4 linked regions of the Mytilus edulis genome follow. The protein of the gene in region 3 interacts with the protein of the main gene of each other region in a pairwise test. Links are inferred from orthologs where the notes say so. Each region holds a gene or a part of one and is shown on either strand. Other genes may lie near its edges.

Region 1 (8,117 bases), on a different chromosome or scaffold from region 3:
ATACAGCGACACGGGTCATTTTTCAATGTTGCATAAACAAAGAAAATTATGATCAATTATATAGCAAATAGTTAAAAGATTACAATTTTAACAACTGGTTATTTGCACTTATCAAAGAATTACCTAAATTCAAAATATTTCATTTGCACCATTTCCAATTTGTATATACCCCTTTTGTCATTGAATCTTTTCATCAAGTTGTATCTTTTACATTATATTTTTTTGGCAAACGTGGATATATTAACACAAAAAGAATTTTGTAGAACCATGGAAGTTATTTAAGTTTGACAATAATTTTACAATTTCTGTATTTGTTTTACTTACTCAAACAAGTCTGATCTTACTGCGACGAAGATGTTTAGAATCGCACGGACTTAGAAAAGGCGCGAAATCAAGTGCACCTAAGTAAGCCAATCAAAACGGTTCAATGTTTGACAGGCACGGTTTCAAATTAACTGTAAATCTATGGGAGCAACCATTTAACTTCAGGGGGTATTTTTTATGAGTCCCAAATCTTTTTTACGTGCAAAGCGCAAACATTTTTATTTAGTTTTTCGACGGCACGCTTCCAATCAATTATATTTTTCAAAAGTTTAAAACACTATTTATAAGGTAACGGAAAAATCTGAATTCAGAATATTTTTTTAATTAAGTACCCGAAAACAAGTTTTGCAATAGTATTATTGTATTCGTGAAATATGCGAAATTATCAAGTTTCGAAACACTTTTATTACTGTATACATAAAGTAGTAAGTTATTCAGAGTTGGACGTCACTGTTGTAAGCCAGATGAAACTCTATGTTTGCTCTCTCCTTGTGCCTTTATTTGGTGAATAAAGATATTTTATTCTGTGCTATAGTTCTAAAAAATAGACATTACTACTTGAGGTATTATTTGCTTTCGTAAGAATTCAGTATGAGCAATTATAGGCGTTTGGTGCCAAATTTGTAAAATTGCACCTAAAAAAATCCGGAACAGACTGTCAATGCAAACATACAGCTTTATTTATGATGACAATTTAAGGTTACTAATAACTGATTGATTGTTCAATGTTTAATATGCATTCATTTTCCGGTTTAAAATCGACCATATTTTAACTGGGAAGAGCACTTCGGACCTTTTGTGACAGGGATGAGCATCTGATACATCCAGTACCCCTACTTTCTTTTATTTATTTAGAAAATAAAGAAAATAAAAGTCTGTCAATATAAAATCTTCATTATCAACTAATATTATGGAATTAAATTTACATGTATTATTCTCTACTCTTTGGTGGGGTTGTTGTTTCAATCATTGGCACATTTCAGTATTAATGTCAAAAGAAGGGGGGGGGGGATTTTGATATCTTAGTTAAAAAAAAATTGACACATCTGAAATAATTTTGATCTTTCAAAAGTTTCCATTTTCAGTAATTAGATAACTTAGTTAAAATGTTGATAGAGATGGCCAATTGATGTACCTATTGTTTAAGTATCAGAGCTATTTTTCTATGTGTACAATATTTTTGGAAATTTCTGTTAACTATATATATGAACCATTACACCTTATCTACTTTATGCAAGCAGTTATTTGTCAGCTCACTAAATGGTATAATAGTATCAACTTTTTGCCGAATTAATGATTCATATATGTTAACATAAAAAATAAAGAAATGTGGTATAATTCCAATGAGACAGCTACCCACTAGGGACCAGAGACGAGAGTGTAAACAACTATAGGTAAAAGACGTACTGTGACCTATAGTTGTTATTTTCTGTGCCAATTGGTCTCTTGTAGGGATATGTCCCATGAGCAATCATACCACATCTTCTTTTTTATATAGGGAACTGTACAGTCTTTACAATGAGTAAAACCAATGCTGTATGGTAAACTACCGTGAGCCTCGAGATAACAAAATTTGAAATACTTCAAACGAAAAACACAACGCCCTATATTATCATAAAACAATTGGCACACGGCAAACAAATAAGAAAGACAGAAATTAACAACAGCAAATGACAGGCTCCTGACTTGGGACAGGGACAAAAGGAATAACAGGTTTGTGAAGGCTTAACCCTCTCTAAAACTGGTACAGTGGTGACACAGCACAATATGAACAAACTATGAAATTTTGTTGGAAAAAGGCTTTACTCATCAGATTGGCATTAATGTCGTTAATCACACACACAAAATAATTAAAAGGGAAAATACTCAAAATTACTAAAGCTAGTTCAAAACCAATTTCAATTAATGGATAACTTATGTTCTCTGCTGTCGATATGTAAGGTGATTCGTTTGACCTTCTTCTGTTTCTCTCTCAAGCCCAGCAATCAATCGCCAAATCTCTTTTGCCGTAAAAAATGAATTCGAAGAAATGAACAGTTCAAGTAATCTTATACTATTATTGTTTTTACTGATTTCACCATTATTATACATTGATTCCTGTACTATAGCTATTTTATTTATATTATACATATGCTTATATAACTGAATTATGATGGATCATTGTCATTCCTCTCCCCCGAGAGACCTTTAAGGCTTAGTACACATATAACACTGCTGTATTACATTGCATACTTATATTATGTATATGCATGTACGCATGATATATGCATTTGTAGTCTTTTTAAGGCCAGTCAGGTCATAAAGAAAAGATAAACTGTTGTAATGACTTTAAGATCGAGAAATTGAAAACAGCTGGCAAAAGTCCGCACATATAATTACTTTAAATATACTTTCAAATATGAGTAATATGAGTATTTCAAATATAAAAAAGACAGGGGAAAAAAATTAAGTTAGAGTTAAGAAATTGAGTTGTCCCTCTTTGTACTGGTTATGGACCTGTTAACCTCTGTGTATTAATTCTGAAAAAAAAAAATAGTTTTCAATGTTTGTTATTAATCTAATCAGTATATATATTAGGTTGCATGTGATGTATGTCTGTATATTGTATGATTTATTATTTTTATTTATTGATTTATATTCTCTAAATAAGAAAAACAGAATGTTGATTTGATTTCTGATTTGATTTAACATGGTCCGGCCAATCAAGTTATTATAAGCGGTGACTCAGTCACCCTTTAAGCCTGCCAGTAATATATGGGAAGACTTATGATATTTTAAGGTAGCATTAAACCAACCGGGAGACAATGTGGTTTTATAGACATCTAAATGATCCTAAATGACTGTATCAATGAATATGACAATAAACCAACGCAGGCGTCCCACTCATGGCTTGAAGGAATATATATGCGATGGGGTTGTACGCGAATTGCGTAATCCTCTCTAAATCTTAATTGTGGTATTGCATGATTATCTTTAAAGTATACTCGCCTCTAAAAATTTATATACCTACAACCTCTTACATTATTAGTACCGGCTTCTTTAGAAACTACATTTAAGTCTTGAATAACCGCATAGTCATGACAGAACTCTCTCTTACTTTTAACAGTTTATTATTTAATCCTTTTTGCCGATAAGTTGTGGATATATATATATATATATATATATTGCACATGTATTTTATTAACAATATATAAAAATAGTTCTCCATTTTGAACACTCAAAAAGAATAAAGTTAAGGACCGATGCCTTCTATTGATCTTATAACTATTTGGACCACGAAAACTGTATGATCTACACAAAAACATACGTGGAATTTATCCCAGAGGATTTGTATAGTAAGACTGGTATCAACGAGGACTATGAGAGAATCTTATCGTGTCTTCTTCGTAACAGTTTACTAGTGATATTGATCTCTGTACTTCCTACTGATTTCAGTAAAGCAACATTATAGACCGCTCGGAAACAGCCTGGCAGCATGAACTCTAATGCTCATCTGTCGTGAATGTTGTTTCTACTCCTCTTGTTGACACCCTACGTATCAGTTACTTCAGAATGATAACATACAACGCTGAAAATTCATAAGACAAAATGATTTTTTTTATTGGTTTCAAATCAAGAATTATTACAAAAATTTCACAATAATTTACATATACATATACACACATATCCATATAGATTTGTTAACATTTATATATGTATATACATATACCATGGACTCTCCATGATTAGAAATGCATTGCTATAATATTTGTAAAATCTAGTCTCTGCTTAGGAGTTGCGTACCACAAAATTATGTCATTTATTATTCAACTATGTTATACAATGCAGCCATATGTATGTCACTGAATAAATCTACCACTTGACCGAATGGAAAGTTCAAAATAAAAATCATGGTGAAACACAATCTATTCTCCATATCAGCTGGGACTAGTATAATAGTTCCAGATATATATAAGAGTATAACAAAATCGGAGTTCTCAGTATGTTTTATAATTAGATTCAGGGGTGGGGGTTGGCAAAAACATTTTTTCATGACAAATGACAGACATGACATGTTTAGAAACAACACATATAGGAGGTACATTGAGCCTTTAAATGCAAGATTTTATAATTATTAATAATAATACATAAAATTAGCAAATGTAATGTCTTTTCGCGGACAGACTTGTGAACAGTCTGGATTTAAACATTTTATTCTGATTAAAAATAATTTTCAACCTTGTACTATGTGATATTGCTCTTTTTAAATATTTTTATTAATTTAGAAGCGTTATTTTAAACGTGAAAAAAAACACGAAATAAAACAAAAGGATAACATCGGCTCTCTCGAAACTGTAGGTCACAATTTATAACGTTTCAACTTGTTGCTTATCTCCCTTTAAAAGTGAAATTTTTTGGGAAGTAAACAGAGAAAATGGCTTTGCAGCCAACATTTACTGTTCGAATTCGTACAGAACAAGAACAAGATATGGATTGGATGGTGCAACCTGATCAGATCACATTTAATCAGGCATTAGTGAGAAAATCAATCTTACAAAAAACAACATGATGATAAATTAGGCTCTCAAACTGTAGTTATACCATTGTTTACAATGCTTTTCTTTGTAAATATCACACTGATTTACCAAATAACACTTTGAATTTTGAGAATCTATATATAAATATATATCTTTTTATTTGTTGATGAGAATAACGGTATACATGTGTATATACAATGATATAGAGAAAAAAATATTTTATATCACAAGCTGAAGCAAGTGAAGGATGCAAATATTGTACAAGGACATTTAAGGTGTGCTAATTTAACTATAATGACATCCAACAATAAATATTTTGATATATGTCAATAGTTTGATAATGACAACAACTGAGAAATATTTTAACCAGTAATACATATAATTGCAGAGAAACTGACATGACCTCCCTTTCCAAATATTACACCTAATAAATTCTGAGTTTTTGAGGTCTTAAAAATCTATTTTATTTCTTAATGTGTCCTGGCCTAAACTCTGCTGGAAGTTGGTAATCAAACCTCTCGTGCAGTGACACAGATCAAGACTTTTATAAAGGGGCCCAGGGAAGGGGGACTGATTGCCAATAAAGGGGCCCACTCCAGTCTCCAGTCATACGTTGTACTTCAGTTTTTCCCTACTTAATCAACCAAACTTTTCCCCATAAAAAAGAGGGGGGGTAAATATGTCTCTGTCGTGAACAACTATTGACAAGGGGGTTATATCTGAATTCAAGACATCAAGTTAAAAAGCAAAAAAGAAGGGAACTCTTTCCTAATGTCTAATATACAAGGTAATTACAGTTTTAATCTGATTTTTGATTTTGAGTCTTTAATAAATAAAAAAAAGATTGCATACATTTTTTAGTGGAAGAAGACGTCAAGTCTTCTGAAGACTTAAGGGGCCGACCATTGGCTTTGAGTCTCCGTATGCCGCATTCATTTCGTGTATTACAATTTCAAGACAACTTAGATTCCTGACACCGATTTTTACACATGATTGGGCATCTGAATCATTTAATTTGTAAATTATGATTGTAAAACAATCACTATCGTAAATATGACCCTTTTATTTATGTAAATTATTAGATTTCATCTCATCCACATGAACGTAATTTGTTTACTTGTAACAGGATGTTTTAACTGTAGATATTTGTATTACGCATGCGTGAATTTGGTATCGGTACAACTCGCCCTGTTTACAAGTTCACCCTTGAAGTTACGAATTTGCAATCCTGCAGACAAGAAGATTTTATTTTTATATAAATAAAAAAGATATATAAAGTGTTATCTTTATTCATGGGTTTCCTTTGTCATGTGAATTAGATGCCCTTCGTAACATACATGTGAACCTCCCGTTTAGGAGAAAAAACTCCTGTGTATGAAATTTTTCAGACGCCATATTTGATCATTTCTTACTACTGTACGGGTGTAATTGACACCTGTGTTAAATTTTACCTGAACATCAAAGAAGATGTATAATTATATGGCTTCACTTGACAGCTTGGGTGTCAAACATACTGGTAATCAACGATGTTTACCTCCGGCTAACTGCCGTTGTGTTATCAAAACGATGTGTATTGGGAATATTGAAATACTTTTTTGTTACTTCCCTTTGTTTTATCCTGTTTTCAGTTATTTTGCTTTTAAAAATGTAAATGGTAAAAAGACTATAAATGATTAATATTTTAATCAAATAATCATAAAAGGATGTTAATTAAATGAATTTAAATGATTTTGGACAAATAAAAAAATTAAAATTTATAAATTATTTTATTAATTTAGACCTCCTTTCAAGGATTAAATTGAAGTTTATATATTAAATTTGTTTAGTTAGAAGGCAACATACAATATTTGCAACTAGGCTAATAGTCTAGCTTCTGCTAGCTTCATGTATAATTTTTCTACCGATTTAATATATAACTAGAATTATGCAAACAGACTTAAGGAAAAGGCATGTAAGTCATGTAAGTTCATACAAATATGACACTTTTTCTAGACAATCCAGATCTTGCAAAATACATCGCTAAAAATTGTAACCTTTAATTTTGTTGTTGTGCAGTAAAAACCCATATGGGAACTTTCAAAAGTTGGCAGGTATGTAACAAGTCTTACTATTTTTATGCTCCATTTATGGGCAATATGTTTTCTAGTCTGTCCGTCCGTCCTGCTTCTGGTTATAAAGTTTATGGTCGAGGTAGTTTTTGATGAAGTTGAAATCCAATCAACTTGAAACTTAGTACACATGTGTTCCTCTTGATATGATCTTCTTAATTACTGCCAAATTAAAGATTTTACCTAATTTTCATAGTCAACTGAACATAGAAAATGATTGTACGGATGGGAAATCCATGTACTTATGACCTTTTCTTGTTTGAAGAAAAAAAATACATTTTAACGATAATGGAACAAAGCAGCCTGGGTAAGTGGGGCTGCTTTTATGGTAATTCAAGTTACCTTTTATTCACCTTCTTCCACTTCAGAGCTATCAGCTCTTTGATTAAATGCAGGGGCGGATTTGGGCGGGGCGGATATAGTTCTGGTGGCGGGCGTGCGCCCCCCCCCCCCCCCCCCTAAAATTTGCAAAGCATGGGTTGTCCGCACGTAATAAGTATCCGAAGAGATGACAAAAGCTAGCCTAATGTCGTCGCATTCAATCTGTTTTAACATTCAAACAAGTATTACTATATAAAACAGTAATTTAACAGAATTATTTAACGTGATTACTAATCAACTGACCTATTGTCTAAGTTCTATAAACATGTTACACTTCAAAGGAAGGTGTCAAAAGCGGTACTGCGTTTGATGACAAATATCATAGGCTTTCAGCAGTAAGAATAAAACAATTGTGACATTGTAGTTGCAGTTTTAATAAACAATTTCTTTGATAATCGAAGTTCAAAAACATCCCTACATCACTTTCCCACGAAGAAGGTGGAAGTGCCCTACCCGCTATTTGGGTTATTTCATCATGGCACGACCAGGAAAGCAGTCTAAGTTAGATTCTTTCTTAAGGAAAGATAAAGATTATGGTTCAAGCGAGAGTTTAGTTTGTTAATTTGACTCATTATTTAATATCTCTGTGACAATATATGATTCTCACTTGCAACATATAAAATTTGCCGAAGCATGCATAAACGAAAATAAGCACAATTTTTTAAGGATCTCATTTTGATTTTAGTGGTTAGCGGCCAATTTTTTTTTACAGAATTGAAAAGTCTAGCACGACCTCCGAAAATAGAACAAAAATAAAAACACGTATTATGAATTGACAAATAAATTG
Region 2 (7,902 bases), on a different chromosome or scaffold from region 3:
TTTCCTGTTTGGTTTCATGTCACGTAAACGGTGAATCAAAATGTACATGATGTATTAATTTTTTCTCGAAAAACTCAATTGTTCCATTCATACTATTCTAACACCAACACAACCCACAAAATAAAAGTTAAAATTTTAGAACTTATAAAAAAGGATACAAAAAGAAACCAAAGGCTGAATACCAAATTATGGTCCATATGGTTCATAAGTGTTTTTTGTTTCTCGTTTTTTATGTAGATTAGACTGTTGGGTATTCCCATTTGAATGGTTTTACACTAGTCATTTTTCGGGACATCTATAGCTTGCTGTTCTGTGTGAGTAAAGGCAGAAGACCGTACTTTGATCTATAATGGTTTACTTTTATAAACTGTGACTTTCATGGTGAATTGTCTCTTTATTCCACATTTTCTTATGATATATCTATTAATACAATACAAACCTTTCACAATTTCTACAGAAGTACAACACCCCCTGTTTAGGAATACCTTCTGTTATATCAACTTGTGTTCTAAGACAAGCTACACACATGTTGGAAGGATTTGGTTCTATCTGGGTCCCACATTGACAACATAATCTGCAACAAAAAAATGAAACTTCATATGTTTCTTCATTAATATACTTAAATAATGTTTTTTTTAAATCTTTTAAATGATGCAAGAGTAAGTTACTTAGTGTATTCCGGATTTTGTCTAATGCTTAGTTCGTTAATGTGTGTGTTACGTTTTAATGTTGTGACGTTGTTCTCTTATATTTAATGTGTTACCCTCAGTTTTAGTTAGTAGCCCAGATTTGTTTTTTTCTATTGATTTATGAGTTTTGAACAGAGGTATACAGTTTTACTACTGTTGCCTTTATTTAATACCAACATTGGACCTTTATAGTTCACACTGTTACCAGTTACATTGTCAGCATCCCCCTCCTCCTTTTCTAGCAAAAAATTTGAGAGAATTTTTTTTTTGTAGCTGTCAATATTAGCAACTTTTTAATTCAGGTCAAATATTTACTTGCATTACACGTCATAATTTGTCTTAAATCAAAGGGAGAAAAATAAAGACCAAGATGATAGAGTCAAAATCAAATTTAGACTTATTTATGCCTGAGCTCTGACTGGCAGTGACTGCTGGCATGGTACTAATTCAAGTTAACAAATGGTTAAAGCAAACATTAGAAGTCAAATCAAATAAAATAATCGGTGCAAACTATTAAAAGAGAAAGTTTTTGCTGTTTTCCAATGATTTTGACATGTACATGTATAATCATGAAACAGTAAATGTTCCCCAAAAATAGTACCTATTACAGTGGTCTCGCTAGCCCTAAATAGAAGGGCGCCGCGCCCTGGGTGCCCTCAGCCGCGCCCTGGGTGCCTTCATCCGCGCCCTTCTGCCCTGACGTCTTTTTTCCAAAATTATCTTGTGCCGTTTTGGTAAAATTTTGTTTCATCGATTTCTGATCTCCAAGTTAATTACATATATGACACCTGTGTGATTGCCCCCAGCTTAATCATGTCATTACAATCAAGTACAATGATAAAGACTTCAAAGGTGTTAATAACTAGGTAATTTAATTAGGACAATGTATCTTTTTGTCATACTTTTGATGAATGTGTCAGCGAGTGTGTTTAGCTTGGGTCGGCATTTTCGATCTCCAAGTCACAATGGAAGAGCGTATATAAATGAAGACTTTCATGAATTTAGAATTGAATTGAAGTCATCAAAATAAAACTATGCCTTTACAGAAATGCCTTCCATCTCAACTTGTTAGCGACAAGCACAGTTTTTAATTAACCCAAACGTGGTGGAAATTGATTTTGGAGTTACTTCCCCTGTTTTAGCTTATTACAAATTTGTGCTCTAAAAATATTATCTAGTATCAAAAAAAGGAATAAATTACCAATTGAATATATAATAACATAATAATGTTACCTTGAAGATATTAACTGTCTTTGAACATATTAAAAAATATATATTGCAATTTCTACTTGATAATTATACTTTTAGCAATCCATGTTCTAAACATTGCTAAATTAGTAATGCTCTCAATTTCTGATTTTAAGATGTATTAAAAGCTATAATTCCTATATAGCTAAAAAAACACATATTCTTTGATAATGGGTAGAGTGAAGTTAAACTGTATAAACATAACATGTTTATGAAGATGTACTATATCATTCATAACTACACAAACAATGAAATAAAGACTATAGTTGAAAAGCATCTTTATTTAAAAAAAAAACATATACAGTAAAAAAAAAAAAAGAGAGATTCGTTAACTCGTGATACCCACAGAAACGTAGACAAAAAAATGAGCAGTGCCTTTTCTTATCATAAAAAGTGCCCTGCCCTCCACTGGCACCCTGCCCCTTTTGATTTCTAACTAGAGCACTGTATTACAAGCTTTATTTAAATTCTTTCAGTTGCTCTTACTTATCAGGATGTCATATCAAAGATTTGGTAACCTTAAAATGCTTAGTCGGGGGGGAAAAAAAATAAACTCAAGCTTCAAAAGTTGGTAAAATAAAAAAATTTCATTAATGAAAGCATGAATATATATATATGTTAGTTATATGTCCTTGATAAAAGTTGTCTAGATTCTAAACCAGTCTATTAAAATGCTACTAAACCAATCTAAGGTAGTATCTGGAAGTCTCTGGATCTAATGAAGTCCAATTAATTATGACGTCTGGCAAGGTTATTTAATTTTTTTCTAAGGCTTCCCAGAAAAAAATAAAATAGCCTTGACAGATGTCATAATTATTTGGACTAGATCTAATGTACACAGAGCACATGTAGCAGGGGGTGCCAGGGATTTGTCCGGACCCCCCCCCCCCTTTAAACAAATAAGCACTGTTAAAGTCGACACTATTGGAATTGTAGCTGTTAGTGAAACATTGAGTATAATAGGGCTCTTCACGGTTAGTTCGGCCATATTGGATAGGGGGCAGATTTTTTGGAAGGAGGTGGAAATAGTATGAAAGTGTGGGAAATCCTATGTGTGTTTCCAAGCAACAGCTCTGTTTTAATGATGTTTTCCCGTTTTTTTCACACCATTTTTACCTCTAATATGAAAATCTGCCCCCTATCCAATATGGCCGAACTAACCGTGAAGAGCCCTATTGTATTCCAGTATCCCCCCCTCTTTTTTTTAAATTCCTGGCTACGGGCCTGCAGAGGGGTTATTCTGTGCCTTTTCTGATTTTCTTACTTGATCACCTCTAGAGGCAAAATCGGAAAATTACTGTGTACAAAGAATTTTTAACAGGGACAACCCTATGAAGATCTAAGAAAGCTCAACAAACATCACTTCAGTTTACAACAGAACCCAAATTATGTCAATGATCAAGTAAAATATTGATCTTGAGACTTTCTGACAATTATCTTACATAAATCCGGTAGTACCCGGTTTACTTTCAAACGTGTATTCCATTACGATAAACTCTAAACAGTTGTTTAGATGTTAAATCTGTGACCATGTGGTGAAATCGAAATGACGTTTGACCGGAAATTCTTTGAAAAGAGTAAATTTCAAGTCGAAAAACGGTGATTTAATTTCCGTGTCTGTCGCTTTCGTGAATATATATATATATGTTCCAGACCATAAGACTTAGAGTATTTGGGTCCGACCGTACGCGTACGGTCTGACTAATATTAAGAAGTTGGTCACGTTTATCAGATACAAATGTATATAACTGATCAACATACAAACTTATATCTCAAATTAATGTAATAAGTTCAATAGTAAATGAAATAAAACAAAATAATGTTAAAACGATTTAAAAAAATCACGTTATAAAGCATAAAAGATTTATTTAAAGTCGGTTATACCAGAGACATATATATGTGTTTATATGTCTCTGGTTATACATATAACGTTGATTTAATCTGTTAATTTCCTGTATTTAGCTTTTCAGTAATTCATAAATTGAAGCCAAGTATATGCTAAGTGAAATTGAAGTTATCGGAAGTAAACTAAGACTGAGAGGACAATCGTTTTAGAATATTAAGGAACTTTACAAAAAAAATGCAAAGCAACGTGCATGAACAAATTATGTTACTGTAAAAAAAAAATATGACGTCCTTAGTGGAAGCAGAGACATATATACACATGTGTATATATGTCTGTGGTGGAAGTCAGTGTCACCTTGAGTACCAAAATAGAATTTACGCATATACAAATAAACACGTATTTAATTTCAATTGTTTGCTTAATCATTTTATCCTCATACATGTAAAACAAATATTTGTTTAAGTTTAACCCATGTGATCCCAAAACATCAGCTGGACCGTACGCGTATACTCATGCGGTCCAACCGTACGCGTATGTATGGAACGCCGTAACTGCCTTATGTGTACTTGTTTCTAGATACGCTTATACTTTTCAATATATGCACATCGTTTTTCTATATATGCACATACTTTTTCTCTATATGCACATAGTTTACTTGATATGCACATAGTTTTTCTATATATGCACATAGTTTACTTTATATGCACATAGTTTTTCTATATATGCACATAGTTTACTTTATATGCACATAGTTTTTCTATATATGCACATAGTTTACTTTATATGCACATAGTTTTTCTATATATGCACAAATATATTTTATTTTGGTCCAGGGGCCAAAACAAGAGGCCCAAATGTGTCTAAGTCATATTTCAGGCAAGAAGTTTACGAAAGTTTTGAACGGGAAGCTATAACTCCTGATATAATAAGTCTGCTTTCAAAACAAAATTTGCAGTTTTTAGGTATTCCAAACGCAACCGACATGATGAGATTGCGGGCAGAATGTGTAAAATATGGAAAATCCAAACCACAGAAAATAGGAGGATACTCTGGAGCACCAAAATTTGATATTGATAAATTAACATTAGACAGTTTGTTAGATTGTGGATTCCAAATATCCGATATTGCAAAACTTTTATGAGTATCAGAGCGCACAATATATCGCCGAATGGCTCAGTTTGGATTGTCAAAACAAGGCTTTTCAGAAATAGACGATGGTGATCTGGAAAGAGTAGTTTCGGAAACCATTAAAGATTTCCCAATGTGTGGCGAGCAAATGCTTCCACAACTGTTAAGAACGAAGGGTTTAAAAATACAACGATGGCGACTAAGGGACTGCATTCATGAAATAGATTCGTCTGGAGTTCGAGCAAGGAAAGCTGGTCGTCTCCATCGGAGAACTTATAACGTAATGGCCCCTAACCATTTGTGGCACATAGACACCAACCATAAACTAATTCGATGGCGGTTTGTAATAATTGGTGGCATTGACGGGTTTAGTAGGATGATTATGTTTCTTTCGTGTAATGACAATAACACTTCTAAAACTGTGTTGGAAAGCTTCCTCACCGGTGTTGATAATTATGGCATACCATTAAAAGTAAGATCCGACAAGGGACGGGAAAATGTTTCTGTAGCAGATTTTATGCTGACGGAACGAGGTGAAAGCGGCATGATCACAGGTCCCAGTACACATAATCAACGGATCGAAAGACTCTGGAGGGACATTTTTGAAGGCGTCTTGTGCTATTTTTATAATCTTTTCTACTACATGGAGGATCATGATATCCTTGACCCCTTAAATTGATCTACATTTGGCAGCGCTGCACTATAATTTCAAGGATGAAATTAACAGAAGACTGAATGTGTGGTCTACAGCATGGGGTTGTCACAGAATAAGGACCGTTAAGGCTACTCCCCTGCAGCTTTGGGGCTCAGGGCAAGTTCAGAACCCAGTTGGCATGCAAATGAATGAGACGGAATTACCAGAATTAGGAGTTGGAGAACAGAACAATGAAGCTACCAGAGATGGAGAAAGGCCAATTTTTCAACCCTTAAATCTTATAAATGAACAATGTAGGGAGATCCTAAATAATGAATTGAATCGATCAGGCGAGAACTTTGGTATTGATGACTATTTAAAGTCTTTGGAGATCATTTCGGCAAATAATTAACATTAACAAAATCATTAAAATTACATGTGATTTAAAGTAAAACATAGTTTTTGTTGTTGTTTTAGCATGATTAAAGACATAATATTGTTTTTGGTACTAGGAAGATTTTGTATTGATTCTGCACCTTTATCAACAGTTAAGATAACTTAGTACCTAAACTTTTCTCTATTATTCACCAGCAACCACAAAATATAGGCAATCTAGCATTACATAGCTCGTCTCAAACCAGGTTCTGATTACAGAACATATTGACATGTAGTAGTTATAAAAGTAAAACTAGAGGTATTTTATGCAATGCTCACACAGGGCTACCCCACGTACCCATCAACATAAATAGTAAATTATTCCGTATAAGGTACCCCCAGTTACAAGAGTTTGTGACCTTGACATACTTTATGTGCCTGTCCCAAGCCAGGATCCAGTGTTCAGTGGCTGTCTTGTTTTTATTTGTTGTTTTGTTTTCATGGGGTCATTTTGTCGCTGTGTCTTCCAGGTTGTTTATGTCTAGTTGCTTGCACTTTTTGTAAGGAGCCTGCTTGAACTCACTTGGTAGTGTAGGTGATGCCATTGTTGAAGACCACTACAGTGACCTTTGGCTGTTGTTTTGTGCATGTCCTTGTGCTGTTCTGTGGTGGGATGATATATCATGTGTTTTTTTCCCCCTATCAGTTCTTTTATATATAATGATGGACTAGTGTTGCAAAGTGTTCAAAAGCTGTTGTATTTGCAAAGATGCGGCATAAAAATGACATGAAATTTCATTCAAAAAGATTGCATTTTATGAACAAGTAGATGTAAATTGTAATGCATAAAGCATTTACACTTTGAGCTTAGTATAATAATACATGTACGGGTTAAGTCTTCTGTGAACTTAATAAATATGGAAATAAGACATATTTGGCACTTGCAATGTTTTATGAGGTCAAAGTCAAGTAGTATACAGTGGATTCCTTTTAATCACATAACCAATTTGTTATAGAACAAGAGGCTCAAGTGGTGAGCCTGTAACCTCACCTGGTATGCTTGGTATAGGACCTCCCATGGATGGTTCATACCAAGTTTCAGTTCATTTGGCTCTACTTTTACAGAGGAGAAGAAGTTTTAAATTTCAACCAATCAAAACATGTAAATCCTCATGGCAGCCATTTTGTTTTTAACGGACCTGGATGATTTATGCAAATTTTGTAAAGGACCTCCCATGGATGCTTCATACCAAGTTTCAGTTCAATTGACCCAGGGGTTTCAGAGGAGAAGATCAGAATGTAAAAGTTTACGGACGGACGGACGACGGACGCCAAGTGATGACAAAAGCTCACCTGGCCAAAAATGTGCAACTAACAGGAATATGCAATTATAATCAAAGCCCCAACGGTGCTAAAACTAATTGCAACTAGAAGTAGGGCTGTCGGAACGACATCAATACCCGCACCCCACATTGTTTTGAAATATTACTATTTTTAATTACTTATTGCACATCTACAGATGATGGACACTCATATGCAACAATGAAGAAGTAGTTCCAGGGACATGAGGCATGCCTGAAATATGACTTAGACACATTTGGGCCTCTTGTTTTGGCCCCTGGACCAAAATAAAATATATTTGTGCATATATAGAAAAACTATGTGCATATAAAGTAAACTATGTGCATATATAGAACAACTATGTGCATATAAAGTAAACTATGTGCATATAAAGTAAACTATGTGCATATATAGAAAAACTATATGCATATAAAATAAACTATGTGCATATAGAGAAAAAGTATGTGCATATATAGAAAAACTATGTGCATATATTGAAAAGTATAAGCGTATCTAGAAACAAGTACAAATAAGGCAGTTACGGCGTTCCATACTATGGTCGGACCATATGAGTATATGTATACGGTCCGGATCGTACGCGTACGGTCCACATACTCATATGGTCTGGAACATATAGTGAT
Region 3 (8,298 bases):
AGGCCCATATAAATCCTGAACGGCCGAAGCAAAATAATCAATTTGAATTTGAATAGTTCACAGAATATAAGATGGAAAAGACTTAAAGTGCAATTTTTAAATCTATCAAGGACCATAACTCCTGATTTACAGTAAAATAGTCAATATTGATCTTGACCTCAATTTTGTAATTCAATTACAACAAAATTTGAAAGGCATTGATTGAACTGTTCATTACAAGTACATCATGAAGTTATTTAGATGTCTTAAAACTAAAACAAATCTGAAATTCTGTATTTTGCTTGGCTGTTCCAAGATTTTTCCTTTCGTACATTTGGTCAGCTCTATGAAAGCAGTGTACAAGGACAGTATACATGTACATACATGTACCTATGTTTTTGACCGTTTCATCTTAACACACTGTACTTTTGGTTTCATAACTGGTCACTGTCTGATAGGAATCAAACTTTTTACTGGTCAGTGGACAAATAAATGGACCTACCGTCTGACAATTACACTGGACAGATGGTGGTAATCATATCTGGTCTGTGGCTATATATCTAATAGGAATCATAATTTTAACAGGTCAGTGGATGAATAAATGGACCTACCTTCTGACTAGTACACTGGACTGCTGATAATCATTTCTGGTCAGCAGCTGTCTGTCTACTGGACACTGGTTTTGTATACACAGGTAATTCTCTAGGCATTTTGTGCAAAATGTATGACTACATTTAGTGTCCACAGGATTAACTAGAGGTTGAAGACAGATGTGACACATCAAATCTTCATCAACAGCTTGATAGTAGTCAAACAAATGGTTTCCATCCCCTTCATGGAATTGCCCACAGTTTGGACACACAGTTTGTCCTTGATTTCTGAATTGGCTGACTGTCAAGGTCAAAGCAGAATCATTTTCATAGTCATGATATGACAGGGCCATGCTACTACACTCGTCTCAGATTGTCAGCTCATTCTTCCTTCTGAAAAATTATACGAAATGTGTTACTTAAAAGTATGTATCAACAGAAACTTCTTCATTGTACCTTATAACTCTTCTATAATTAAATACATCCATTATTTGATAAATATTCATATTGTATGTCAAAAAATAAATTAATTTTCAAAGTTTTTTTAAAAACAAGAGTTCATGTGCTGAAATGTTTTGCCTGCTTTAATTATAGTTATTCAGAACATGAAATTCTGATACATTTCTTATGATCTCAAAAAGTTTTAATTTTAAAATGAAATGTTGCTACATGTACATGTAAAGTCATTAATCAGCAATGGTAAAATACATAACAGAAAATGACCTTCACAAATCAATAATGACACAATTTTCTAATCTGATAAAAACTTAATATTTTCAAGAATGAGGTTGCCCATTCAGAAAACAAATTCAAAACTCATTGTTCACATTATTATTTATTTTAAAGAAAAGGTCAAAGGGAAGTAACTTTTGCTCATCTATTTATGCAGCAGCAAAACTCTGTGTTGAACCATGCTATTGACACAGTAAAATGGTATTGTTGTACAAACATTTGTTATATATATACAGCCATTCATTGACTGAAGTGTAATGAAATTGCATGAAATAATTGCCACTATAACTTTAGCAAGCAACATCATTCAATCAAGAATGGTATAAAGCCTTAAAGACATAAATAATATGTTAGGATGGTAGAGTTTTTACATCATCTAAGTCCAAAATGCACTGTTATCTCCCTATTTGTTATTGTATCCATCTCATGAATTATATGTAAGACTTTTTCAACTGATTTTAACAGTTCGTTATTATGTTGTTTGGTTACACCACTGTGACACTGTCCCAGGTTAGGAGAGGGTTGGGATCCCTCTAACCATGCCACATTTTGTACATGTATGTGTCTGTCCTGAGTCAAGACCCTGTAATTCGGTGGTTGTCGTTTGTTGCTGTGTCACATATTTTTTTTCCTTCATTTCTTTGGTACATAAATTAGACCATTAGTTTTCTCCTTTGAGTTGTTTTAAATTTGTGATTTCAGGGTCTTTTATAGCTGACTGTATACATGCTGTATGGGCTTTGCTCATTGGTGAAGTCTGTATGATGACCTATAGCTGTTTAAAATTTCTGTGTCATTTGGTCTCTTGTGGAGAGTTGTGTCATTGGCAATCGTACCACATCTTTTTTGTTTCATGCATTTTAAATGTTTTCTTTTACTGAAATTTATCAACATGCATTAAATGAGAACATGTCTCACACAGTTATTCATATACACAAACAAAATTTTTCATTGACACTTCTATAAGGCAAACAAAACAGTCATTCAATTATGAATTTCAAAGAAGTTTTTAATTTTATTAAATCATAAATAGAAGGCATTTATCACATTTAAATTTTCATTGTGAAAAATGATGGCAATTAATATATGACTATAATCATGATAATTGATTACATATTGCAGTGTAAAATATAATTAAACTAATTTGAACAATCATGGCGTTGACCATACTTATACTACATGTACATTTTGACAATGAGCAAAACTAATACCGGTACAGACTAGCAAGCTAGCTATAATGGCTATAAAAGACTTCAACATGACAAAATGTGAAATATTGCATAAACAAAACCATATATTATATTGGTCTGCCATTAAAGGCATTACAGACTTTGTTGTAAAATTTTCATGTCATATCAGAGACTGGCCACAAACTGATGCCCCCACACTCCACACTGAAGTAACTGTATTATAACTAAGTCAATGTGAGACTTTCTTTGAGATATTATTGTCTGAGAAACACAAATGATGCCCCCACAGATCCAAAGATTAATTTTAAAATACACAAAAGTGAGCAATGGAGCACATAGGTTTATTTTTCACTGTAGGAGGACCTCTTATTCAAGTATACATGTACATTGTATACTCCAAAGATGACAAAGTTCAACTATCTCCCAAAATAGCATGTAGAAATCAAAACCCTGACCACATGAACACATTCAAAAATATGTAAAAAAAGCCAGCAAAGTGAAAACTATATACCTAAATTGGGACAGACGGGTGGAAATTAGTACAGGCGATCAGACAGGGGTAAAACAATATGCCCCAGAACTTTTAGTTGTGGGGCATAAAAATGAATAAAGATTGTAGTTCAACTGTTACAAATTCTCATTTCTCAGATTCCTTATGTATATATGTTTCTTTTTGGAACCATAAAGCAAACTACAGGATACCTCCTAATGGAAAAATGTGAAAACTCAACATCCATACTAAAAATAACTCAAATGAGGAGAAGAAAAGAAAAACAATTACCGTCACACAGTAGCCAACGACAACCACTAGAACACAGACTTCTGGATGCAGACAGGCACATTAAAAGAGTGTTTGGGTAAACTAAAACATGTCTGTTAGTGCTTAACCATTCTCACAACCTTGGACATTCCTTTGTAGTTCCAAAGACATCAACATTAGTTTGGAGTTGTGCAACAGGTCTGCAATAAACTCTTGCTGGCATTGTTTGTTTTGAATTGTCATTTGTTACTGGATGTTAAACAAGCAAGAATCAATCATAAAAATGAACATGTACCAATCCGCAAATTGGAATAAATTTCTATTCAGACTAGTCTGTATTTTAATATATAATTACAGCAACTTTTAACAATAATAACAGACATTACATATACCTGAATAAAATTATACAACTTTTCCATTTGATCTGAAAATTAGGCGTGGCTTTTGTGTGTATATTATTGTTGTCTTTTGATGTGAAATCTATTTTTGGTGATTCATGCAATATGCTTTCAGAATAAACAAACTTCCGAAGGTTTTCACATTATGTACTGAGAAGATCTAGAGAGAGCCGAGTTTTATTTTTTTTTTATCAACAAAACTGTTTTATTTGTAAAAGCTGGCTGGTAAAAAATGTATAAATCACTGTTTAAAACGGTATATATAATGTTAATTCAACTGTATGACTCCAAGCTCTACTTTTATCAGGAATATATTTTTTTCTAATGCTTTGCGGTGTCTGGTTTTTAAGTTTTATTTCCCGAAATAAACTGCGATTTGTGACAGGGAACCAGTTGTTGGTGTTCCTAAGTTTAGAGTCAAATAATTAAAACACGTATAAATCCGGAAAAGATGAAGAAATAAAATAGTTTACAGTAAAATAGAAACACGATGATTAAAAAGATAAAACGGAATAGACAGTTGAGTGAATGAACGAATTCCTTATGATATCCACATGGTAAATCATCGTCAATCAGTCAATTAATCAATTAATTAATCAATCAACTTTAATTAATCAATCAATCAATTAAGCAACCAATCAATCAATCGTGAATGTATGAATGAACGAACGAATAAATGAATCTATCAGAATAAATCAATCACGAACGAGGCCGAATAAACGAACTAGTAATGCCCTTTAACGTCAGGCGTCAAACAGTCATTTCGGCTACCGTTAGCGTCAAATTGATTAAAATAAGTGTACATTTTATCGTCATGTATATATATACCAAAAGTTACCGTTAACGTCATTTGGCAAGAATTTTTACCGTTATTCGTCATGAAGTTACCCCAATTACGACCCTCAAAAACGAACGGCCGAACGAACAAATGAATGAAATCGGCTCAAGGCGACTGAAAATAAACAAACACAACTACCAAATACATATAGTGTTACAAGCGACGCACTAACATATACATACCTGTCAACCTGTGATGATGAAAATGCAGGTCATGACCTGCATTGAAGAATCAAATCTCAGGTCATAACGCGTACGAACTTTTTCGAGCTGAATTTCAGTATTTATGGTACATTTTCTTATAATGTATATCAAAGATACCAAAACATCAATGCATGTTCACTTGCCTTGGTTAAGTCATTTTATATCTTATTTATTAATATTTCATTATACTTTTAAAGATTTTTATTAACTTGTGTATCACAGTCTTATGTCATTTACTTTTTGTCAACATCTAAAATTTATTTTTCAAATGTAATTTTAAAATGAGACTACTGGCCTTTGAACATACCATGTAGAGGTATTACATGTATGAACATTCATCACTCAATACAACAAATGGAAGTTTTTAACGACCTTGACTGGCTATACAGCCCTCCCTCAATTGCCAAGGAAATTAGACTATGAAAAAATATAGTAATACAGTTAAAGGAAGTATAAATGTAAAAAATAATTTTCAACTTTTTTTTAAAAATTGTATAAAGGTATAAAAATAATGAAAAGTTATTTTTCAATATGTATTTGAATTTTATATTATTATGATTTTAATCTTTTTCACCCATAAAACGTAAATATAATGAATAATTTTGAATGGTGACAAATAAGGGGAAGTAACTCTTAGTTGAAATATCTTTGTAAAACAACAGGGCAATTTATTTACGACCTAAAGCTAAGGTAATTGGTGTTAATCAACAGTGTGTTTGACACCAAAGCTGTCAAGTGAAGCCATGCACTTAATTTGACAGTTTACATAGCTAGATGAACTGCATGTTTATGGAAGAATTACGAATTTGCCGGTATTTCAAAAGAAATACGGGTGAAATCGGGTCATTTTCGGAATTTCCGGGTTATTTCAATGACCCGGCGGGTGATCCGGGTGATCCCTCAGAATTGTGAAAATCTCGGGTCACACCCGCAGAGTCCGGGTCAGTTGACAGGTATGCATATATCTTTTAAAAGCTATAAAAACATATCCAAACTTTATGGGTCAGTTACGAGTTTTCTCATTGTTGAAGACCGAATTAATCAAATTGAGCATGGAAATGGGGAATGTGTCAAAAAGACAACAAACCGACCATAGAGATGCTGGCCCCTAAACAAATATGTATACTAGTTCAGTGATAATGGACGTCAAACTCCGAATTATACACAAGAAACTAAATTTGAAAATCATACAAGACTAACAAAGGCCAGAGACTCCTGACTTGAGACAGACGCAAAATGCGGCGGGGTCACATATTTTTGAGATCTCAACCCTCCCCTTATACCTCTAGCCAAAGTAGTTACTTATAATGACTTAATAATTACCGTGGTACCCACTTCATTTGAACTTTGGTGGATATCTGTCCTTTTGGCAATGATACCACATCTACATACTATAAAGTTTAACAGATTGACCAGAGAATAAGGGCCGAGTAATTGATACTTTGAACGACAATTCAAAGTCAATTGGCAAATATTTCAATGACCTACAGAACGAGAATTGAAAAAAAGAGAATAAGAATGAATCTATAGGTAGAAATTTTGAAATGAAATAGGATCATCTATAAAGAGCTCTCAGTGAGCTAGAGATTTTTGTAAATTTAATGCACCCACATTTCTTATGAATATTTATAAACATTTCTATGATAACAAATTGTTCTTTGATGCTTAAAAAAGGAATGGCGTTTTAAGGAAATGAATTGCACGACATATGCCAAGAGTTAGGGATCACTACATGAACCCGATGCAAGACGTTTTAACGGCAACACTTCCGGTTCGGGCATAGTCGTTTCGGCCATACGTTGTGAATTCGTTTCTGTATTTTGTTTGCGGGGTAAAAATCGCATTTGTGTTAACAATCGAAACCCCGTATGTGGCTTGCAAAATGTTGATTTCTTCCAGGGTTTATTACTACATTTGATATATAGATAGAGTAATATAGAGCAGTGAAGTGACCATTCTATAGAAAATATCCAGGCAATATTGATTTCATGCACTTTATTGATATATTATGAAGATATGAAAGTTTACAAAATGATATATATTTGAACAACCAGTCAAGAAAACAGTTTTATTAGAAAAAAGTTTTGCATTGTGCATTGATGAATCTACAATGTTACAATTATGCACAAAGGAAAGTAACTTCAATTCACTACATGCTTGATTTCAAGTTCGATGCAAAAAAGCAATCTAAACTTTTTAGGCAGTGCGCATAAGCACTTTGAATTTTTACAAGCCTATATATATTGAAATGAAGGTACATATAAATATTTCTACTCACAGACATGAAGAAACAAATGAAGAAAAAATACATAATCATGTATAGTTTGACTTCTATAAATTGTGACTTGGATGGAGAGTTGTCTCATAGGCACTCATACCACATCTTCTTATATCCGTATAGTCATTTGTATTAATGTAGGTGTTATAAAATTGAGAATGGAAATAGGGAATGTGTCAAAGAGACAACAACCCGACCAAATAAAAAACAACAGCAGAGGGTCACCAACAGGTCTTCAATGTAGCGAGAAATTCCCGCACCCGGAGGCGTCCCTCAGCTGGCCCCTAAACAAATATATACTAGTCCAGTGATAATGAACGCCATACTAATTTAAATTGTACACAAGAAACTAAAATTAAAATAATACAAGACAAACAAAGGCCAGAGGCTCCGGACTTGGGACAGGCGCAAAAATGCGGCGGGGTTAAACATGTTTGTGAGATCTCAACCCTCCCCCTATACCTCTAACCAATGTAGAAAAGTAAACGCATAACAATACGCACATTAAAATTCAGTTCAAGAGAAGTCCGAGTCTGATGTCAGAAGATGTAACCAAAGAAAATAAACAAAATGACAATAATACATAAATAACAACAGACTACTAGCAGTTAACTGACATGCCAGCTCCAGACTTCAATTAAACTGACTGAAAGATTATGATTTCATCATATGAACATCAGGCACAATCCTTCCCGTTAGGGGTTTAGTATCATACCATCATAACATATATGAGAAGAACATAACCCGTGTCATGCCAACAACCGTTTTTAGAATAAATGTGTTTAGTTCCGATGCAAAGACCTTATCAGTGACTCAATATTAACGCCAAAATATGCAATCTTTAATGACTTGACAACAGTATCGTAATTATATCCCTTCTTAATAAGTCTATTCAAAAGTTTTGTAAGTTTCTGAGGTGAATACTGACACCTTTGTGCTTTATAAAGAATATTTCCATAAAAAATTGGATGTGTTATAAGAATATTTTGAAAGGGCGAATATCAACAAGAACAAAATAAAGTGTCAGATTAACGGGAGCCGGTATGCATGTCGGATTAACGAGATTTCGAAATATCAAAACGAGATAAAAAGCTTTAGGGGTATTGACTCTCGTGTTACCTCTTCTTCTTCTTTTTCTATTAGCTGAAATAAATCCAATGAAGTTTTATTTTAATTAATGTTAATTTAAAGTTGGTTTCTCTGAAGGCACCAGCATATAATATATCGATTTTTTTTAATATACCGTTTGGCTTTTTTTTTATTTACGGCATTCAGTTTGTATACTCTTATTTACATTTGTGTATGTTATCTGAAAAATCAGTCTGGCGAC
Region 4 (8,421 bases), on a different chromosome or scaffold from region 3:
TGATGTTTCTTTTACCTGGATTACCTGTATCTGTCTAAATATAATATGTCTTTGTGTTTTAATTTATTATTTAAAATGAATATTGATGATAAATACTGGCTTTTCCAATAATTTGTAAGGTGTTTAAATAATAATTATGTCACTTCAAGGAAGAAATTTCATCAGGTATATATAGATGATATATACCATGACAGATAAACAATACATGACAAGAGAAGACACCTACATAGAATGACATGGGCATGATTTGCCCAATGTTTTAATTTAAATTCTGATAATATTATAGTACAATATTAGATTAAACATTTTATTTCTACATGTATGAATAACTTAAAATTTACATCAGGGTCAGTTACCAAGAAAACTAACTACAAGCACTATAGTACCTGCTATACCGCAGATAATTAGGTGTACAATCTATGATTGAAATATTCTACTGGAAGTCAATATCTTGTTCTGAAGACAGATTCATTTCATTGTTTGTAGTCAGGTCTGACTTATTAAGATATTACATTAGCAATAATCAGTGGATGTCTTCTGACTTCATACCACAACCAATGATTTACCTTAATTGTCTGTACATAGAACTTGACACATTTTTAGTACCAAATTAGACTTCACAAAGAATCACAAGCTTCATCTAAGTAGTACATCACATGTACATTTTGTGACATACATGTATACTCATATAGCATGTATAGTTAAAATTAAAGGACGTTTTAGAACTTGACATAGGGATAAGCACCACTTACCGGTTGGACTTTAGAATCACAAACCACCTAAGTACTACATCACAATCATGTGTCATACTCATAAAATAAGGTTGTAGAATTTACCCCTCATTTGATATTTAATTACAAGACTAACAGTTTCTATAAACATGATAAACTAATCTTCATCATGTTCAAATTTGGTTTTATGTAAAACTTGATAGGGGTGAGATCCATTAAGTAAGGCCAAATATTACAAATGTACATTTGAACCATGTAGAGTCCCAGATTCTTGCAACTGAAGATGTGACTGAATTAAGAATTTGACAAAGAAAGGAACTTAAAGTCTGATGACCACAACTTCACAAGCATGGCCAGATTTGGGTGACAGATGGACAATTTAAGTACACCATAGACCAACAAGAACAACCAGTGAGACACATGGAAAAACTTGAGTGGTATAATGAGAGTTTCTACTGGTGAATGTCTTATTATTTTTTTTGGAAATTTTACCTATTCCCCATCAAAGAGACAACCTGAACTTATACAAACAGACTATGCTGATATAGGACATATACAACTAAAAACCTTTACTTGTTTTGATGTACAGAGAAGATAGCTGCTTTGACATGTACAGTTCATGTATATATACATGTATGAATTGTCACATACTGTAGATGAAAATTATAGGCAAATGGTTGCAATGTTGCTTTCAATCCAAAAACAGTTGATAAATTTCTGATACATTTTTGTAAAAAACTTTGTAAAATGCATGTCAATGGAAAGACTGCCTTTTGACCATGAACCCCAGTGGACCTGTCAACAAAATAATCATAGACATACATAAAGGGGGTCCAAAATGTATTGCCAAGTTGACAACCTACCTGCTAGATTCCTGTAACAGAAGATGGGGTTGTATGTAGAACTTGACACGGAGATGAAATCTATGAGCCCTCATTTCAGACACTTGCTGATTAATTCGGTTCCTCATGTTCAGCCAAATTTTTTCTCCTTTACTGCCACTAAATTGTAAGCCAAAATAGTCATATTCAAGGATTCCAAGATGCTGGCAAACCTAATTAACAAAAATAAATATATTAGAATGCATTACAACATTGAAAGGAGAGAAATAGAGGTAATCTAAATACTGTTGAATTATAATTGTCCACAGGCTGGCTAGATACATGTGTTTACAGAGATAGTTTGTGAATTACTTACTGTTACACAGTTACAACCTCAGATAATGTGCATTGTGTGAACTATTTAGGTTCCATAAATCAAATTACTTTCTACCCAGTATTTTTGTAAGAACAACTAGTTTTCTACTTGTACTTTAGTATATTCAATGTTACTACAGTTCAGTAACTGAGAAACAGCATGTACATGTTAATCATCATTAGAAGGAGGCTAATGTAATTACGGTGTCTCCCTGTCCATATATAGTTTGCACCTAAAAAAATACTGAGGAAAGCTAAAAGAAAGTTTAATTTGGCAATGACCAGCACTACCACAATTTAACCTTGCAATGCATGGCACAATGCCAAAAAAATTAACTGCTATGAAGATTTTACAGAGATTTTACAGAATTGGAAGAAAAAATAATTGTCAAAAAAATCAATGATTCTGTAAACAATTCCGAATTATCTCACAAGAATCTGGTTATTCCAGTTTTGGTCATACAATTGATATTTATAAAACTAAACAAATTAATTTACACAATTAATCAATACATAAAATAGGTTGCACGTTTAAGAATATATACATTCACTTGGAAAGATGTTTTTATCTTTTGGTCAAAAAAATTAAAAATACAATTATTTTATCATGTTTATGATAAAAAATGTATAAAATAAAATATTTTTTTCTGTTCTATTATCTTTTCATATCTTGACTTTAAATCTTATGTTGCAAACTTGTGTTTCTTTCAGTTTCGGAAACCCATTTCTCTTTTATAGGACAACCCATTACACATGTACTTGTTTATACTTTTGTGTATTGATTTTTCTTTTGTCAAGTCAGCTGATCAAAGTCAAATCTTCTTATTGCATCAACCATCTTCAGTCAATCACAAAGAAATTAGTCTATTACAAACAAATCTACGAACTCGGGTGAAATTTCTTAGAAATGTAATCAACTATAATGATTACAACATACATGGTAATTTTGACAGGTAACCGCTACGGGTTGATTGATCCTTTGTTTACATCCGATCACAGATTGGACTTTGGACCCTGCATGGCCATCTTCGATTTTTATGTACTTTCCCTTTGTCAAAGGCAATTTTACAAAGCAGACTACGTTTTTGCATATATAACAAGTTTCCTTATAATCATCATCAAACCACACTTAATTTATTATACAAATATTGCAGAAAAAATGGAAATTTTCTAAGTTTTCTCCAGAGAGAGTGGAATACATTTATATAGGTCACGTTCGACCTTACCTGATCTAAGCATTCTTGTCCATTCGCTCGAATATCCACATCGATTTCAATCACAACACTGTTCGGTAACACTACTGTAAATATCATTTTGTTCAAATATGCTTCTTTACGCTTAAAATGTCATTTCTTCTCTTAGAATCATCTCTTGGACGTGTTGCTATATTTGGAATCGTTGATCACATGGACTTTGACCGAGGTTCATTTTAGAAGCATAGATTCTGCGCGAACGCCTTATCCAATCAAAATAATGATAAGGCGGTAACATTAAAAACATCAACAATCCAACCACGTGTAGAAATGTCACAAATAGTTGCAATGCATCTATATTATATACTATTTCCAGGTATTACTGAATTTTATTGCAGTCAACTATGATTGCTACTATAAAATATTTTATTGCAGTCAACTATGATTGCTACTATAAAATATTTCATTTGCGTTCAAATTGATTTTCAAAAATACCATATATTATGCGAATATAAAAGTTAAACTTTATTATCTGCCGTGTGCCTAGTATTATGATCTATTATTCAGTCTAATTTGTGCTATGTCTTTCATATTCTTATTTTGCATACTATACTTTTAACGTTTACATGTCATCTATGGTATCTTACTATGTACTGTTTGTTCAAAATTGTATGTGGGTATTTATTTTCTATTTCAGTCGATTTAAAAACGGCTCACTGACTCAGAGATATTTTATAAAAGAAGATGTGGTATGGTTACCAATGAGACAACCCTTCACAAGAAACCAAATGACACTGAAATTAACAGCTTTATGACACCGTATGGCCTTCAACACTGAGTAAAGCCCATACTGACCGCATAGTCAGCGATAAAAGACTCCGAAATCACAAATGTAAATAACATCAAACGAGAAAACTAATGGCCTAATTTTAATGTACAAAAATGAACGAAAAACAAATATGTAACACAGGAACAAACGACAACCACTGAATTACAGGCTCATACATACAGAATGTGGCGGGGTTAAAAATGTTAGCGGGATCCCGACCCTCCTAACCCGGGACAGTGGTGAAACAGTACACCATTAATATTAGAACGCATGATCTATAAAAATCAGTTGAAAAACGCTCAACTCATTAGATGGATACAAATTTTAACCAAAAAAAAAACATCGAACAAAAACACAGAGTGAACGTGACGGGTACTTGTATATCCCAACAACAAAAAGATACAAGTACAGATCTGGGAGCTAAAACTGTGTTCAGAGCTTTGAAAATGATAGAACCTAATTAAGATCCGTCTCAAAAACAATGTTTTAGTTATTCGGCCAAACACGAAAATAACAGCTTCAATCATGATCACACCTCCAGTAAGTATGCATCCGCATATTTACCTTTCTCATTAGAAAAGAAGGCTTTCAGATTTACTAAACGACAATTTTTAATAAATAAAAATATTTAAAATTTATGTTTAATAAGATTTTGTAAAGTGTAGTAAATGTTTGAAAAGTCAAAACTGTCAGAAGAATAAAAATGACCATCAAAAACACGTTATTTAATTAAATGTGCCAGTCTCAGATCAGGAACTTATACTGTCTGACTTAGTTATCATTATGCATTGAGATAATTGTTTGAGTATATATCAATGAGACAGCAACAAAACGACACAAATACACGAATTGAACTCTGTTCAAATTACGATCTGTTATCGAGCTATTTGTATCTAAATGTATGCTTCAAACGAGTTACAGTAAGCCGGATCAGAGTTTTAATCAGATTGACCAAAAGATAATGCATTATGTCAAGATCTAAATAAACCGGTCACCATCGTCCTAAGTCAACAAAAAAAGTTTGGACATTCAGTCAAGTCGGATTATGAAATATGAAGAACCGCATATAATTATTGCCTTTGTAAATTGAATTATTGTAACATATTTTTTATATAAAAGAAGATGTGGTATGATTGCCAATGAGACAACTATCCACAAAAGACCAACATGACACAGACATTTACAACTTTAGGTCACCGTACGGCCTTCAACAATGAACAAAGCCCATACCGCATAGTCAGCTATAAAAGGCCCCGATAAGACAATGTAAAAACAATTCAAACGAGAAAACTAACGGCCTTAATATGTGGTCAGTTGAACTGCCCAGTAAGCCTTGCACGGTAAACTATACGTAAAAGTGGTCATAGTAATTAAAGTCTGAGGAGTCGGGGGTAGGTACAGGATGAGGTCAGTTGAACTGTCAAGTATTTCTGGTCATTTTTGTGATCTATTCAAACGTCCAATAATTCTGGTCATTTATGTAATTAGTATGTCTGTTGATTCATGTGGTCTGTTGGTGTATGCGGTGTGTTGAACTGTACAGTAAGCTTGGTGATTTATGTGGTCAGTTGAACTGTCCAGTATGTCTGTTGATTCATGTAGTCATTTGAAATGTGCAGTATGTTTGGTGATGTATGTGGTCAGTTGAACTATCCAGTATGCCTGGTGATTTAAGTGGTCAGTTGAATTTATGTGGTCAGTTGAACTGTACAGGTTAGTTGAACTGTCCAGTATGCCTGGTGATTTATGTGGTCAGTTAAACTGTCCAGTATGCCTGGTTATTTATGTGGTCAGTTGAAATGTCCAGTATGCCTGGTGATTTATGTGGTCAGTTGAACAGTCCAGTATGCCTGGTGATTTATGTGGCCAGTTGAACAGTCCAGTATGTCTGATTTATGTGGTCAGTTGAACTGCCCAGTAAGTCTTGTGATTTATGTGGTCAGTTGAACAGTCCAGTATGCCTGGTGATTTATGTGGTCAGTTAAACTGTCCAGAACGCCTGATTTATGTGGTCAGTTGAAATGTCATGTATGCCTGGTGATTTATGTAATCAGTTGAACTGTCCAGCAAACCTGGTTTATTTATGCGGTCAGTTGAACAGTCAAGGATGCCTGGTGGTTAAGATGGTCAGTTGAACAGCCCAGTATGCCTGATTATTTATGTGGTCAGTTGAAATGCTTTTTGAAAATGAAAGTAGAACAGGAGGGGGAAAAACAGCTAAGCTAAATAGTTATGTCCAGTATGCCTGGTATTTATGTGGACAGTTGAACTGTCCAGTAAGCCTTGTGATTTATGTTGTCAGTTGAAATGTCCAGTATGCCTGGTAATTTATGTGGTCAGTTGAATTGTCTAGTACGCCTGGTGATTTATGTGGTCAGTTGAACTGCTCAGTAAGCCTGGTGATTTATGTGGTCAGTTGAACAGTCCAAAATGCCTGGTGATTTATGTGGTCAGTTGAAATGTCCAGTATGCCTGGTGATTTATGTGGTCAGTTGAACTGTCCAGTATGTCTGTTGATTCATGTGGTCAGTTGACATGTTCAGTATGTTTGGTGAGGTATGTGGTTAGTTGAACTGTCCAGTATGCCTGGTGATTTATGTGGTCAGTTAAACTGTCCAGTATGCCTGGTTATTTATGTGGTCAGTTGAACAGTCCAGTAAGCCTGGTGATTTATGTGGTCAGTTGAACTGCCCAGTAAGTCTTGTGATTTATGTGGTCAGTTGAACAGTCCAGTATGCCTGGTGATTTATGTGGTCAGTTGAACTGCCCAGTAAGTCTTGTGATTTATGTGGTCAGTTGAACAGTCCAGTAAGCCTGGTGATTTATGTGGTCAGTTAAACTGTCCAGTATGCCTGGTTATTTATGTGGTCAGTTGAAATGTCCAGTAAACCAGGTGATGTATGTGGTCAGTTGAACAGTCCAGGGTTCCTGTTGATTTAGATGGTCAGTTGAAATGTCCAATATGCCTGGTGATTTATGTGGTCAGTTGAACTGTCCAGTGAATATGGTGATTTAAGTGGTCAGTTATACAGTCCAGTATGCCTGGTGATTTATGTGTTCATTTGAACATTCCAGAACGCCTGGTGATTTATGCGGTCAGTTGAAATGTCCAGTATGCCTGGTGATTTATGTGGTCAGTTGAACTGTCCAGTATGTCTGTTGATTCATGTGGTCAGTTGACATGTTCGGTATGTTTGGTGATGTATGTGGTTAGTTGAACTGTCCAGTATGCCTGGTGATTTATGTGGTCAGTTAAACTGTCCAGTATGCCTGGTGATTTATGTGGTCAGTTGAACTGCCCAGGAAGTCTGGTGATTTATGTGGTCAGTTGAACAGTCCAATATGCCTGGTGATTTATGTGGTCAGTTGAACAGTCCAGAACGCCTGGTGATTTATGTGGTCAGTTGAACTGTCCAGTGAATTTGGTGATTTAAGTGGTCAGTTGAACAGTCCAGTATGGCTGGTGATTTATGTGGTCTGTTGAACAGTCCAGAACGCCTGGTGATTTATGTGGTCAGTTGAACTGCCCAGTAAGTCTGGTGATTTATGTGGTCAGTTGAACAGTCCAGTAAGCCTGGTGATTTATGTGGTCAGTTGAACTGCCCAGTAAGCCTGGCGATTCATGTAGTCTGATGTACTGTCTAGTATGCCTGGTGATTTATGTGGTCAGTTGAACTGTCCAGTAAGCCTGGTGATGTATGTGGTCTGTTGAACAGTCCAGGATGCCTGGTGATTTAGATGGTCAGTTGAAATGTCCAATATGCCTGGTGATTTATGTGGTCAGTTGAACTGTCCAGTGAATCTGGTGATTTATGTGGTCTGTTGAACAGTCCAGTATGCATGGTGATTTATGTGGTCAGTTGAACAGTACAGAACGCCTGGTGATTTATGTGGTCAGTTGAACAGTCCAGTATGCCTGATGATTTATGTGGTCAGTTGAAATGTCCAGTATGCCTGGTGATTTATGGGGTCAGTTGAACTGTCCAGTATGCCTGGTGATTTATGTGGTCAGTTGAACTGTCCAGTAAGCCTGGTGATTTATGTGGTCAGTTGAACTGTCCAGTATGCCTGGTGATTTATGTGGTCGGTTGAACTGTCCAGTAAGCCTGATGATTTATTTGCCAGTTGAACAGTCCAGTATGTCTGATTTATGTGGTCAGTTGAACTGTCCAGTATGTCTGATTTATGTGGTCAGTTGAACTGTCCAGTATGCCTGGTGATTTATGTGGTCAGTTGAACTATCCAGTACGCCTGGTGATTTATGGGGTCAGTTGAAATGTCCAGTACATGTATGCCTGGTGATTTATGTGGTCAGTTGAACTGTCCAGTATGCCAGGTGATATATGTGGTCTGTTGAACTGTCCAGTAAGCCTTGGGATTCCTGTTATCATTTATTCATGTACAGCACTACTGCAAATGTTTCAGGAAAATGGCTATTGCGATCTGTTATAAATTATTTTTTTTGTCGGAAT

The links.
Region 1: the proteins of ligand of Numb protein X 2-like (region 3) and dual specificity mitogen-activated protein kinase kinase 5-like interact in binary tests that used the Homo sapiens proteins (3 or more experiments, as listed by UniProt). The link is inferred for Mytilus edulis from reciprocal best matches to the Homo sapiens genes LNX2 and MAP2K5.
Region 2: the proteins of ligand of Numb protein X 2-like (region 3) and 60S ribosomal export protein NMD3-like interact in a two-hybrid assay, tested with the Homo sapiens proteins (3 studies listed by BioGRID and IntAct). The link is inferred for Mytilus edulis from reciprocal best matches to the Homo sapiens genes LNX2 and NMD3.
Region 4: the proteins of ligand of Numb protein X 2-like (region 3) and E3 ubiquitin-protein ligase MYLIP-like interact in binary tests that used the Homo sapiens proteins (3 or more experiments, as listed by UniProt). The link is inferred for Mytilus edulis from reciprocal best matches to the Homo sapiens genes LNX2 and MYLIP.

Annotation. Positions count from the first base shown.
Region 1 is NC_092347.1:75,251,642-75,259,758, reverse strand, and holds the start of dual specificity mitogen-activated protein kinase kinase 5-like, read left to right. Parts: upstream 1-4,688; 5' UTR 4,689-4,738; coding exon 4,739-4,840; intron 4,841-8,117. UniProt on the Homo sapiens protein: Acts as a scaffold for the formation of a ternary MAP3K2/MAP3K3-MAP3K5-MAPK7 signaling complex.
Region 2 is NC_092355.1:7,239,245-7,247,146, reverse strand, and holds the start of 60S ribosomal export protein NMD3-like, read right to left. Parts: upstream 3,517-7,902; 5' UTR 3,424-3,516; coding exon 3,380-3,423; intron 575-3,379; coding exon 440-574; intron 1-439. UniProt on the Homo sapiens protein: Acts as an adapter for the XPO1/CRM1-mediated export of the 60S ribosomal subunit.
Region 3 is NC_092350.1:40,601,100-40,609,397, forward strand, and holds the start of ligand of Numb protein X 2-like, read right to left. Parts: upstream 3,782-8,298; 5' UTR 3,644-3,781; intron 970-3,643; exon of another isoform or gene 963-969; 5' UTR 923-962; coding exon 591-922; intron 1-590.
Region 4 is NC_092348.1:310,655-319,075, forward strand, and holds the start of E3 ubiquitin-protein ligase MYLIP-like, read right to left. Parts: upstream 3,360-8,421; 5' UTR 3,241-3,359; coding exon 3,154-3,240; intron 1,786-3,153; coding exon 1,595-1,785; intron 1-1,594. UniProt on the Homo sapiens protein: E3 ubiquitin-protein ligase that mediates ubiquitination and subsequent proteasomal degradation of myosin regulatory light chain (MRLC), LDLR, VLDLR and LRP8. Activity depends on E2 enzymes of the UBE2D family.